Linked DNA regions of Styela clava. The protein of the gene in region 1 purifies or fractionates together with the protein of each later gene. This does not show direct contact. Links are inferred from orthologs where the notes say so. Each region holds a gene or a part of one and is shown in the gene's direction. Other genes may lie near its edges.

Region 1 (7,559 bases):
GGGGTTCCCAAACCGCGGCCCGCGGGCCAATTACGGCCCGCAAGACGATTTAAAATGGCCCGCCGAACATTAGTGAAACTATAAAGCGAATAAATACTAATACGTTTAACAATTTAAATGTGTTCATCTTTTTGCGTCAATTGTTAGTTGCCGCCAATTGTTACGTCATTACCACAATTCGAGCGCGTGTATAATCATAAAAATTCAATTATAATAGGATTACGTACGGCAGTATTTTAGTTATCAGCACTATATTAAGAAAGCTTGAAGATGTCACAAAAACGAAAACTAGACACTGAAAACAGACGTTTTTTGGATAAATGGCAGCGTTCTTATTTCTTTATTGAAAAGAATCAAACTTCAGCGATTTGTCTTCCTTGTCAACAAACTATTCCTGTTCTGAAAGAATACAACATCAAGCGCCATTATGAGACGAAGCATTCTTCAAATTACGATCATTTGACGGGTGAGCGGCGTATTTCAAAATTTAATTCATTGTTAGATTCATATAAAAGTCAAACGAACATGTTCAAAAAAAGTCAACTACAAACCTAATTAGATATCAAACCTTGGGTGTCGCTGCTTAATAATCAGTTCCCAGAGACTTCGCTTTCCAGTAAAAATGTGTGTCAATTTTACTTTTCTCATAATTTTGTTTGTTATTTTTACTGGATGGAAAATTAAACTTGACTATGATATGAGTAGCCATTTATAAGGAGCCGTATTTCAGATGAGCAAGTAACTTCATTAGTCGCTATCAGTTGCAAGTCCTTGTTGAAAGTCGTACTTGTTATTTCTCGGGTATTCTATCATCTAACTATTATACTTATTAATTTTATTTCATAACAAACTGCGATACTGCGTGTATCTAAAACCAATCTTGCACCCTATTTTCGTGCCCATTTTTTAGAAAAAATTTCAGGGCGCATTCAAGCGCCAGCCGTTACGTCGCGCTCTTTTGGTCACTCCCCTTTACTGGCCCCCGAGTATCCTCGCCTTAAAATTTTGGCCCGCGACTAAATAGGTTTGGGAACCCCTGGTTTATGGGAATCAAGTCTAAAAGATCCGTATGGAATACTCTTGAAAATGACCACGCCTACCCTCTTAGATAAGGCATATATATTAGTCAGAAAATTTCAGAAACAAGCTTAGTTCAGTACAAAGCGTATATATAATATAATGGTTCAGTATGGACTAGTGACTGATAGCTCTGGCCAATGAGCATGCTTATTGGTCTGGCTAACCATGTTGAAATCATAAGGCGGAGATCGCGGGTGTAAGGAAACGAAAGTCAACCATCTCATTCGGGATGTATTATCGACTTTAATCTCCTTTTTGTGATAAAAACACATTTAATAAACATAATTGATTATACATACGACACGATTGCACTTTGTAGCAGGAATAATTTATGACTATGCATAATAATGTATCGCGGAACGGAAAAATTTGATATGATTGGAACAGAAAAACAATAACATATATTTTCATATTATTGGACTGTAAAGTAGAATCACAACTTCAATCAAGTTTTTTTTTCTCTTTTTCGTCCAATGTGTCGGGTTCATCATATTAATATATCTGCGGTTATTCGACGCCTCAAAAAAAAATTACATTATGACAAAGTCGTCGTTAACGTAACCGTCACCAAGCTCAAATCCTGCTGTGCCTCACCTGGAAAAGATCTCAGCGGCCCATGCTTTTGTTGCACGTCTTTTGACCACCTGCAGGGTCGCAATAGGTTCATATCTTACTGAATGTCATGGCGAAGAAGTATGAATCACCTTATATTTGGATGGTCATGTTAATCACTAAAAGTATGTAGAACAGAAAAAGCACGCGTCTCCGGTTTGGCAGAAAAACAACAGCATTTCTCGCGAACCGACAAAAAAACTTCGCAGACCGGCCGTTAGAAATCACTGCTTTAGAATTTGTACGAAATGGGAATACGCTTGACATCGCACCTCTGGTCGCTCTGCCTGGGTTCGAAACTGATACTGATTATTTATCCCCAGGAAAAGGCGAACTAGGACCACCTGTCAGTCCGACGACTCCAATCACCCCTCGCCTTGGAAACGCTGTTGATTTTGCGTATGGTGATGTGTTGCTGCCTCGCTGGTGAATTAGTTCTTTCCAAAGTCAGAAAGTGTATTTTTTGTTGAGATATTCGCTATCATGTGGGATTAAAAGCACCACAGTTAGAAGATGAGCCATTCTATCCAAACTTCTCGCAAAGGCTCTAGTATTTACGAAAATATGACCAGCAGATCTTCTAGCGGCTTCGGCGAGGATAATTTTAGTTTACGACCTGATACGGCACCTGGTAACCCGAGAGATCAGATTTTACCGATTTCTCCTTTAGCCATAAATGAGAGGTCGAAATCGGCGCCGAGAAATATGCGAATGACAACCAGATATGGTTCAGAGGGTCATGTTAAATTGTCATCTCGTGAAATTCTCGAAAGTGGAAGCCCTGTTAACCGGCAAGAACGGCCAAAAACGGTTGAACCGGAAGTCCAGGAGACGTTACAAAAAGAACAACCCTGGTACATGGCTATGCTAAGAGAAAAAGAAGAACGCCTTCTACAAATGGGCGATGAGATTAACCGCTTGAGTGCTTTCGAAATTGATTCTAAACAAAAAGATAACGAAATATTTGACCTTAGAAGACAGTTGGCACAAAATGTTGTCATAAAAACGACTCAAGAAACGGAATTAGAGGCAATTGTGGCGGATCTGCGTAAGAGAACGCAAATTTTGACGGACGAAATTGTTCGTCTTGGACCATTTGAAGAAGAATGCAAAAAGAATGATAAGATTATTTCTCAATTCCAAGAAAAAATTGAATTCTTAGAAAGAGAATCGCAGCAGAAATCTCGCTCAAGTACGCCATCTAGTGGAGCAAAAAAGCCTTTGATTTATGTTGACGAAACAAGCACAACAATTTCTGAACCAGAGGGTTCTTTCCAAAAAAATCCACAAGAATATGACGAAAAAGTCGAAAGTGTTCGCGAGTCGTTACGAAGCGCTAATGCTGATGCAGACGCTTTACGAGAACAATTCGACAAGATGGCTCCCGAGAAATTAACCCCTGAAGACGAGGTCATGGCTATGAGAGAAGAGCTTGTTAAAAGAGAGCAAATAATTTCTGAGTTGCAAGATCGTCTTGAAACGTCGCAAAAAGAATTGGTTATGAATGACGGCTTCATAAACGCTTTACAGCGTGATTTAGAAAGCACTGAAAACAAAGTAATGAAATTGACATCCCAAGTTGAGAAAGCCGAATTTCAGATGAACGAAGCTTTAGCAGAGGCTAGGACAATGTCGAAAAAGTTCTCTGACTTGCGGGAAAGAAGAAAACACAGCGATATGAATGCTGAAACTGAACATGAGTTGACAATCCTGAAGAACGCTTTTAATGAGATTCAACAAAAAGCTGACAAATTGAAGGAAAAGTCTGACAAACAGAGCAAAGAAATTAGGGAGAGTCACAAAAAAATTAAAAAAGGTGGCGAGCTAGATAAAAAACAGTCGGAGGAGATCAAACACCTATGTCGTGATTTGGAAGATATGCGACGTCTGGAGCAATTATCTCGAGTTTCCGCTGAGCAAATGTCGACAAGATTCGAACGTCTTCGCTCTCGAATTATTCAAGCTGTATTTATCACACCTGGAGCGGCTCATCCAAGCACAGCGATTAGCGACATTGTAGTTTTTAACGCTGTGAAAAAGATAATCGAGGATAGAAGTGAATTTCATAAGTTATTAGAAGAAACGAACGCAGATTTTCCACCGTTATTAGTCGAGCTCGACGCAACTTTGGAAGAAGAAAAAATCGAAGAAAGTAGCGCTACTACCGCAACGAGTCAGCAAGAACGAAAATCTGGGAAAGGAGGAAGAAAATCTCCGAAGCACAGATAGTTATTTTTTGCACAATTTTAATTTTTTTATATCACATATTATACAGGGTATTCATAAAGTTCTAAATTTTTTCTCAAATTGTAAGGTAATTTATCTATACCATAAATATTTAATGGCCATTATGTATTAATTAATAAATGAACAAGCATTGATTCGGATAAAACAAACCTGGTTAAGGTATATTGAGAACTGACTTCATAACAAAATTTAGAAATTGTGTGAATAGAAATTTATTGATACTATATTATAGTTTGTTTTCCTCTACAGGTGTATTGAATGATGTAAGAAATTTAAATAAACGCTGATTAAAATAAACGAATCTTGAGACCAGACTTTATAATTGTAATGATGTAGACTTTATGAACGCCCTGTATTTATATCATATTAGATATAGGTTTTACACCTCATTTCATGTACAAATTTATGGTAGTAGCAGAATCCTAATTGTAATAAAAGACTGTTGAATCACTGTATTTATTACCCCAAATCAATTTTATTTTTTTCTAATTTAGCCACTGTAGTAGTTCCAATGTCCACTGTTGAATAATTTTATGATAATTAATTTAATAATGATTTTTATGGTAGAGTTTAGTAACATATTTTTTTGATTGAAGCAAGGGTGCCTTTTAACAACATTGTGAAAATATTGGCGTTTCACTTTTTATCATATATCCAAGTCCATGGAACCAGAATCAGATAATCAACTTTCTAGCTATGGCTATTCCCATAGAATGTTCTGTCTATATATCTTTCATTGCTGTTTGGGTTCAAGTAACAAAGCATTGCAGTGAGAATTTTATCCTACATAGGATTATTGTGTCAATAATATATGCTATCTTGTGTTTAACTAATGAAGCATGACAGTCAGAATTTTATTACTTTGTTTCAATTAGGCATATTCTGTCAAAGTCATGCTCCATTGCTTTTAAGGTTCAAGTAATGAGGCATGGCAGTCAGAACTTTATCCATCTGTTCTAAATAGGATGATTTTGTCAATATATGCTCAATTGCTCCTTGGGTTTAACCAATGAGGCGGGCAGTCAGAATTTTACCCACCCGGTTCAAATGGGACTATTCTGTTAAAGTTATACTTCATTGATTTTGTGGTTTATTTCAATGCATTTTGCCATCAAGTTCAAAAATAATAACATCAAAGGTAGTTAGTATGCATTGCTGGTTGGACACATTTCACTGTGATTTGTAGCCGTCCACTGTTAGTTGGTATATTACTTGAAAACTTGAATGTATTTTGTGAAAATTGAATTTTCTTGTCACTAAATTGTTCCTAATGAGTTATTATAAGCTGGGGGAGTGTTACATATAAAATTTGATATTTTGGGTGAAAATTTTGAGTTTTTATACTTATGTTACTACCCATATATCCTCGAATATAAGCCGGCCCCCTAAAGTGGTTGAATCATCAAAATTCACATTAAAACTGGCCCTTTAAATCATAACACGCTGCACGCACCTATCACAGCAAAGGTTGCTTTAGTGCGATCAGAGCTATGGTCGTATAAGCCGCCCCGTAAGTTTGGCAACTTTTTTTTTAGTTATCTTGGCTTATATGGGAGGATATATGGTAATTAAATTTTTTAGGCATTCTGGTTAGCGAAAAGTTTTCGTAAAATGCACCATTTTTTTTAATTGTGATTCTACTTATAGCTGCACTTTTTTTTGAGAATCTGCGCGATGTACATATAATTTGATTTCAAATAGTTTGTATAATGAAATGTATTTTTTTAGAATTTTAGATTTATCTTGTTACAGAAATAAGATAGCCAACGCTGTGATTCTGATTGTGGAACTGTTGCTATTTATCCCTATGTGAGGCTGACGACTGGAAAAGACTGTATACTTCATTATTGTAGTACACAAATTGGGATATTATCATACTTCTGTTTTATTGTTTGCGAATTTCTACCGGGTGACTCCATATTTTGAATATTGGTGGTCTCTACATCGGAACAATTTTTGAAATTTTTGATGAGAAAAATGACGAACCAATGGGAGGACCTAAGGAAACAAGCTCGCCGACTTGAGAACGAACTCGACCTAAAACTAGTCTCGTTTAGCAAACTCGGGACAAGTTATAGCAGCCACGCAAGCGACCATACACCTCTTCTTGGGAATTCGAGCAGCGAACGAATGTTTGAAACCATGGCGATGGAAATCGAACAACTTCTGGCGAAATTAACGGGCGTAAACGACATGATGGCCAATCACAGCGAAGCAATTAACGGTCCAAGTTCTGCAATGCATACTCTACAACGACACAGGGACATACTTCAAGACTACACTCATGAATTTGCCAAGACCAAGAGCAATATCGTCGCTCATCGTGAAAGGGAGGATTTAATCGGATCAGTTCGACGTGATATCGACGCTTACAAAAGCGGAAGCGGAGCTAATAGTCGACGTACCGATCTTTATCTAAAAGAAAACGAACATTTAAGGAACTCTGATCGCCTTGCCAGCGAGGCAATCGACATCGCCATGGCAACGAAAGAAAATTTGGGAACGCAGCGAAAAATTTTCAAAAATATGACAACGAGATTGAATAACCTTGCTAATCGGTTCCCCGCTCTTAATAGTCTCGTTCGACGAATTAAAATGAGGAAGCAAAGGGACTCGCTTATCATGGCTTCCGTTGTGTCCATCTGTATTATACTCATTCTGATATACTGGTTACATTAGCTGATTTAAGAAGAGCATTCTAAATATTATTTCTGACTTTTACAACTAGGGATGTGGGCTCAGGAGTTTGCAGATCTGCAGACAAATAAGAAGCACTTGCATGTGCTAAATCAGGGGTGTGCTACCTGCGGCCTTCAATAAAACATTGTGCGCCCCGCGAATTTTTTTTTTGCCTGCAACTATGAGATAGCCATTATTGAATAAAAGTTGGGTCCCTGCGGTTCCACCCAGTTATTTATATCTGGCTTATTATGGTGTGATTTTTGGGTCTTGGGAATATGATTGATACTGCTTGATAACCAGTGTTAGTTTTCTTTCACCCTAAAATTCTGTTTTATTTTCTATGTTATGGCCATACAGAGTATTTTCAATATGGTGAATAATAAACTGTATGTCATTGCATATAAGATGATCTCGCATATAATTCGACAGTCCTAAAATGGTGAATTTATAAATATTAGCATATAAGGCGCCCCTACAAATCATAACACGTTGTACGCACCTATCAAAGCAAATGGGGACAGAAAGGAATTAGTGAAATTTTGTGTTAAGTCGTATAAGTTAAATTTTATATAGTGCGATCAGAGTTATGCATGTATATGCTGCATTTTTAGTTTTCAACTTGGCTTATATGCGAGGATATATGGGTAATGATTGTCATGCCAAGCACGCTCTATTTTATGAGCTACATTCAGTCATTCTGGTAAGACTCCCGTTATGAATTTTCTTTAAATGTACATTGAAGTCGAAGAAATATTGATATTTTTTTTTCAAATTTTAGAATAGATGATTATTAATGATTTTTGGTCGTTCTTGGTTTGATCTTGCAAATCTAGGCAGTGTAATCAGATTCACGCACTTTCTGTCTCACAGACTTTTCCGACCTTAAAGCAGCATAAGATGGTTTGAGTTATCATTACTTATCGATTTTAATCGGTAAG
Region 2 (7,196 bases), about 9.9 Mb from region 1:
ACAGTTGAAAGCTAAAGGCAATCTAACGAGACGGATTTGGCCCTCAGCCGCCAACTTGCTAATATTTGATGTAGTTTAACAGCTTAAATTCTCCGAACGATTTTTAAAATTCACTGTGTCAGTTCTTATGACACACTTTTTCTCACTGCAAGCTTCCGAGAGGGCCACTATCAAAAAAAAAAAATTTCCAGGTCACTTTTCGAAGCTGGAAGCTACTAGTAGTCATAGTCAAGTTTATTTTTTCCACACAGTAAAAAAAGTTAACATGCAAAATTAAGACGAATAAATAATATTGAATACACATTTCACTGGGGAGGGAAAGCTGCGAGGAACCAAAGCTGGTTATCAAGCAGCGACACCCAAGGTTCAAATATCTAAATGAACATTAGCCAAGTTTTAGCAACTTGATTGTTGGAGAACTGTTATCATTCATGATCGATGCTTGGTAGTTGAACCATCTAATGCGATAGGTAAATAAATAACCAACATCGCGTAATACAAATCACATGTAATATTAATCAGTGTAATTCTGAACGACATAGTTAAAAACAAAGGGCTGAATTACTTTGGCCGTTGTTGAGTTTTGTAGTACAAAGCTAACAAATAATTTGAAGATATTTTCACAAAATGTATGAACGTTTCCCCGACCTTTGACCTCCGAAAAATTCTTCCTATACTTTACCATTGCAAAATTGTCGGGGCTTATTTTAGGAGTGGTTTCGCGAGTTGGCGCCTGTAAAATGGGGTATGTGTTTAAAACCATCATTATGATTCAGTGCATACAACAATCTGTTTTTCAAAAGTACCGGTAAACAATTTTAGCCTAGTCTATCACAGCTAATTCTACACTGATTTTTGATTACTGCAATCAAATTAAAACTCATAGGAAGACAGAGTGATCATTGAATTATCTAATTTAAATTTCCGTAACACAACTGAAAACTAACGAATAGAGTTCAAAAACTCGAAAACGAGGTAATGTTTACGACCACGCCTGAAAATCTGTCTGAAAAAATCTGAGTGAAAGAAGTGTCTGAGCGGATGCGAGAAGGTAGCATTGTTACGTCACTTTTTGCATCTTGCTGATTGGCCAATTTCACGAAGTGAACAAGGAAGGCGGTGCTCGGGGAAAGGTCCATTACATTGTCGTAGTATACAAAATTTAGTTTCCAGTTGGCCAGACCATAGGCGTAGCCAGGGGGGAGGGGGGGCAGAGGGGCCATGGCCCCCCCCAAAATTTTCAAGAATTCCATTCCTAATCCACCAGTTTTGTGGCATCTTGTCTCGTCACGCTTGCCGATTGTCATTGTTACGTCACAAAGACTTGACCGTTCGCTCTTATGAGCAGTATGGGAAAGACCGTTTCGCAAGCTTTCGGTTTGTTACTCGGTCTTGATTTGTTCTCGCCGGATTTTTATTCGAAACGGTTGGATTTTGATGACCAATTTACTTCGATGGCTAAATTTAAACAGGCGAAATTCGATAGTTTTTTTCAGCGAAATAAAGACTCGCTTTCCTCAAATACATCAATAAGCGCTTCTCAGGCTGTTGATGCACCGGTTACGTCAGTTACGTCTATCACATCTATTCCCGAAGATGAACTAATAATCAACGAAGGGAAAACAAACGATCTTGGATTTATTCTTAAGAAACATACACAGCTTACCGATGCGGAGAGAAACTGGCTTCTAACTTCGGATGGTCCGAAAAACGGGACGATTCTGGATACTGTTAGACAAAGTCGTCGTAAATTTCTCATAAAATGGCTTGACGATAACAGATTTTGTAGTTGGTTAGTTTACACCCAACTCTCTGATGGGGGTGGTTTGTGTAAGATATGCATAGTCATGCAAGCACGTTTGAAGCATGGAATTCTCAGGGACACTGCCTTTGTTACAAGACCATGCATTGACTACAAAAAATTTATGGAAAAGGCTGTAGCACACCGAGACACAAATTACCACCGAGAATCAAATATAGCTGCGAAAAATATTTTGTCAAAAGCATGGAAACTGATCAAAATGTGCGTGCAAACATGGAGGCCCAATATGCTACGCAAACAAAAGAAAACAGACGAATAATGACTTCCATTGTCAAGACTGTCATGTTCTGTGCTTCGGGTAACATACCCTTGCGCGGACATTCCGGGGGTATTGGAAATTTTGTGAACCTTCTTCTATTTCGTATCGAGGCAGGGGATGAAGATTTGAAAAGGCATTTCGCTAGAATGGCCGGAAACGCTAAGTATACAAGCTCGATGATACAAAATGAAATTCTCAAGGTAGCAAGCAACATGATAGTGCAAGATATCGTTATGGAGGCTAATAAATCGTTTGTGTCCGTAATAGCCGACGAATCATGTGATATTTCTGGGAAAGAACAACTAAGCATCGTTTTTAGGTATGTGAAAGGTGGTGAAGTGTGCGAGCGCTTCACAGGATTAGTGGAAATGGATTCTGTTTCTGCCGAATCAATTTCCTCAAATATTTTGACCCACCTCTCTGGTATAGGAGTGGATTTGCAAAAACTTGTGGGGCAAGGCTATGATGGTGCAACGACAATGGCAGGTCACGTCAGCGGTGTGCAAAAACGCATTCGTGATAAATACCCGCGCGCAATATTTGTGCACTGCGCTTCTCATTGTTTGAATTTGATCATAAATGATCAAAGTAAAGTTGCAATCATCAGAAGCACCTGTGATATCCATTCGTGAGACTATTCGTTTTTTCAGGGAGAGCCCTAAAAGGCGCGCGGGTTTAGGAATTAACATCCCTTTGTTCTGCCCCGCCAGATGGTCTGAGAAGTACAAGAGCATCCGAATCTTCAAATGCAACTTCAAACGAGTACTTGAGGCTCTTGATTCTTTGGCGAGAGATGCTAACTGTGAGACGCGGACGAAGGCTTTTTCTCTGAAATCTGCTCTAGAAAAGTCGTCGGTTATCTACGCCGTATGTTTGATTGGTCGATATTCGGCACTAATGGAGCCACTAGCGCGCGCACTTCAGGCGGTCGGAGTCAGTGTGCCGTCAGTAAAGAACCTCACATCCTCTCTTCAGAGCGTTATCGCTGAAGAACGCAATGACTCTGAAATCGCATTGAATATTTACAAAGAAGCTTGTGAAATAGCTGGCTTGAAAGAGTTGACAATACCCAGAGTAGTCGAAGTACAAGTTTATCGCGATAATGTCTGTGCTGATTCAGCATCCCAGTATTTTAAACGTTCCGTATATCTCCCATACGTCGACGGCTTGAGCTGCTCTATTCGGGAACGCTTCATTGACAACCCTTCATTTTTTTCATTGCTATCAATTCTTCCACCGAACAAACCAGTTCACGTGGATGAGGTAGAGCGTCTGTATTTATTGGATAACCTCCAGAATGGAGTGAGACTGTGGAGAACTTCTTTAAGTTCCGACGTTAACGACGAATGTTTGGAGGGGCTTCTTCTGAGCGCTCGAGATTATCCAAGCGTGTACACCGCAATACAGATTGTTATGACGCTACCAGCAACCACCGTTGAGGCTGAGCGGTTTTTCTCATGCATGAAACGGGTAAACACATGGCTGCGCTCATCAATGACGTCCAAGTGCCTTTCTGATTTGTGTGTGCTTCAATGTCACCGTGAAATGGTCACCGAGGAGAAAATTAATCGAGTTGTGTCGAGCATAGTTGGCGGGAAGCGAAGGATGGACTTTTAATTGGGGCGATGTATTTTACTTATTCAAATTGCGTTGTTAATATTTGTTGTTTCAAATAAAAAATTGTTTATTAATGGATTTCGTATTCACAAAAATCCAGCTGAGTAATTGAATCAGTTTGCTTGTTGACCAACTGTTGTTGTTTTGCGCTTGAAGAACGGGTGTTTTAAACCCAATATAATTTCTAAAATTTTCGAATTTGGCCCCCCCCCCAAAATTTTGGGCTGGCTACGCCACTGGGCCAGACCCTCTTCTTTGGGCAAGACGCTATTCGAGATTGTTTTAATCGAATCCTATTTTTATCTAGTAAAAGTATGGTCATGTATGTTACGTTAAACCTTGGGCTCTCTCTTTACTTTACCATTGCAAAAATCATGTTCCCAGTGGCTCACAGTCTCACATGCGCGGTTATGGGTCACTGATATTTGAACAAAACAAGAATGCCATCTAGCGAATAGTGAAGAGGATACACGTCGTCAATCGTTTGTTGCTTCGTTTTGTTGTTTGGAGTTTCTTGAAGTGCGTGCATCCAGCAAGATGTCTCACTGGAATCGAAATTCAGGTAAATCCACTAGTTTGGTTATGGGCTATTTCCATTTTGAATTCATGAAGGACACATGTCGGTATAGGCAATGATAAATATATTCGGTACCGTATGTACAGATGTACGGTAAATCCTAGCGCATTACCGTACACAGTACCGGTATTGTACCGGTACCGGTAGCCCTTGGTATTTGAGTTGTTGCTCTTAGCTTTGCTCTGGGATCATTCTCCTTAATTTCGCAGTGAGTTATCGCGACCTTCTGAATTTGCTTTGAGCAGAGCTCCTTAAAAAATATCTTAAATACAGTAGATTTCATTCTACAGTTCTAAAGCATGTTAAAAATGGGCATGGGTAACTTAATTACAGCTTTCTCGATAATCAAACTCCATGCATCTGAAACATTAAACCAGCCTATACCGGGTCTAGTATAGTTTAGTACCACAAGTAATTCCAGTGGGCGTAGCATAACGAATTTTGCATATGTTATTCCTAACCCCCACCAGACTATGTCATCAAAAAATTACGTCACTACGGCATCACAATCATGTCATAGAGCTTTCCAAAGTTTAGTTAGGATTGCAGGATTGCCTGAAATGGAATCTGCGACGCCGATAACGAACTTATAAATGCCGGCGTTCTCTCTTGTATCGTGATCGTTGCGACGAGAAAAAGAGAGAGATAGCTTGCTCAGTTTTGGGTGATTGTCTGCGCGTTTTGAACGACTATCCACATACTTTGTTCGGCCTTATTACTCCACTGTGACATCGCAATGATGTGATTTTTTGACATAGTCAGGTGGAATTAGGAATGACATATGCAAAAAATATTGAGCCAGGCCAACTAGTGCATTTGGTACTAAACTATACCAGACCCACCCATATCTGACCAGTGATGCCAACGCATGGAAGGCTGTGGTTCACACATACCAACATACAAGCTATTTCCGGAATAACCTGAATAGTGTATATGCGATGTACATATTTTCATTTTTGTAAGCACATAACACATGCACATCTTTCGTTATTAATTTGAGGTTGAATTGTAATAAACTAGACTAGATTTTGGTGAAGTTGGCTGTCAAATTAACACAATAGTTATGTGTTTTATCATCCACAGGAATTAGAAGCTTCCTCATGTTCGCACATGAAAGGAAAAATGCAGATGAATATAATGTTTCGTTTGAATTTCAAAGGCAGTTAAATCCTAACTCCTGAAATATTCATGGCAGCGTTTTATTACAAATCATATTTACTAATATTAAGTGAACACGTTATTTTGGAAACAGCGAATTTCAGTTGAATCTGTTTTTTCTTCAAAACCTAAGTCTGTTCTTAAATTAAAGAATGTATCGATAAATCAATCTCTCTTATATGTTGACTAGTTTTTATGCTCTTGTATATTTTCGGGCCATTAATATAATTTAATATTTGTATGCTGTATATCAGTTGAACCAAAATACAACAGTTATTAGTTTTTCAATTCAAGTTTCTATCATTTATTTACAGGTGGGACAACGTCCGGAACAGAACAAATTATGGAGTCAGAAAATGATCGCCTTGCTGATCAACTCGCTTCTAAAGTGTCCAGATTAAAAATGGTATAAGTAATAAAATACAATGCTGTCAATGCATAACTCAGATTATTAATGATATAACCAAATTACTGAAGAAAATTATTCTACATATAATTAAACAGATCCAACACTTGCCTGCTATCAATAAATAATCTTGTGTTAACAAAGATAGGTGCAATGATTGACACCACAGTGTTCGTGGTTAAAACTTAGAACTTAACTATGTTTCTGGGATATGTGATTGATTTTAAAGAATTTATTAATTATTGGATTAAAATTATTTTGTCCTTCCTAATTTAATTATCTTCTGTATCAATTGCTATTGAGCTCTATGATAAATATTTTTTAAATATATATACAACTTAGTTTTTAACTAGCTGTGTGACAATTCCAATTTATTTTATGAGTTCTATATTTTTTAGTTACAATTTTGTGTTATTTTTTTTATAATTTCAGTCATTTATTTGACAGCACTTTTTTCTTTATACAACATCTCCATTCTAGATAAGCTTAGATGTGAGAGATGATGTCGATGATCAGAATAAGTATTTGGATGGTGTGGTAAGTGTTTCTCATAAAAGTTTCCTCAATTAATTGTTTTTATATTTAAATTTTGTAATATAAATATGATCAAACTAGTGTATGCTTGGTGCTATAATTAGAAACCGTTTATCAAAGCAATGACTATATTCATATTTTGTCATCCTATTCAATTATATCGAAGCTGAACTGACTTGCGAGGTTATACTCTTCAAACAATAACATTTTGGATTATGTTCACTGTTTAAATATATATTTTTGTTTTATTTTAACATTTTCCCATACCTGTGAATTAGCACTTGTTTATATTTTTCTCCACAAGTGAAAACTACGGTAACCTATTCTTGATGGAAATATTTAGTCTATTGTCATCTAATATTTTTTATCAACTCTTTACATGTTATTGGATCATTATTTCACTTTAACAAGGGAAAGTTGAAGTTTATAAAAATTATTCCAAGCAGGGATGTCCAAAATTAATCCAATCTTTGAATTAATAGAAATTAATTGTATTCAATATTGGGAATAGAAATTTATGCTTTTGGATGGAATAACACCAAATAGTTTCATTTGATTAATAATTATCATTTTGAAATGCAAATTAAGTCCCACACAAGTATGATCAAAAACGCTTTTATTTAATTTTTTCAAACAGTTAAAAATATAGGATAGGATTTACATATTTCACTGCTTCCTCCCTGCATTAAATAAATCACTGCTTGCTTCAAATTTTCAGCATTCCCAAATTCAAATTACACTTGACTTCAATGTTCTTTGTTGAACATCACCCAATTCAGAATGTATTCCATGTTTGAAAATATTATTTCAGTATGTATTCGGA

What was found. The genes of interacting proteins can lie anywhere in the genome.
Region 2: the proteins of Golgi SNAP receptor complex member 1-like (region 1) and BET1-like protein purify together in Homo sapiens (affinity purification with western blotting; 3 studies listed by BioGRID and IntAct, with this or other methods). This does not show direct contact. The link is inferred for Styela clava from reciprocal best matches to the Homo sapiens genes GOSR1 and BET1L.

Annotation. Positions count from the first base shown.
Region 1 is NC_135255.1:20,539,306-20,546,864, reverse strand, and holds Golgi SNAP receptor complex member 1-like, read left to right. Parts: upstream 1-5,037; 5' UTR 5,038-5,907; coding exon 5,908-6,618; 3' UTR 6,619-7,005; downstream 7,006-7,559. Other genes in the region: coiled-coil domain-containing protein 27-like, read left to right, coding at 2,206-3,921. UniProt on the Homo sapiens protein: Involved in transport from the ER to the Golgi apparatus as well as in intra-Golgi transport. It belongs to a super-family of proteins called t-SNAREs or soluble NSF (N-ethylmaleimide-sensitive factor) attachment protein receptor.
Region 2 is NC_135255.1:10,596,997-10,604,192, forward strand, and holds the start of BET1-like protein, read left to right. Parts: upstream 1-4,106; 5' UTR 4,107-4,235; coding exon 4,236-4,260; intron 4,261-5,747; coding exon 5,748-5,839; intron 5,840-6,319; coding exon 6,320-6,376; intron 6,377-7,196. UniProt on the Homo sapiens protein: Vesicle SNARE required for targeting and fusion of retrograde transport vesicles with the Golgi complex. Required for the integrity of the Golgi complex.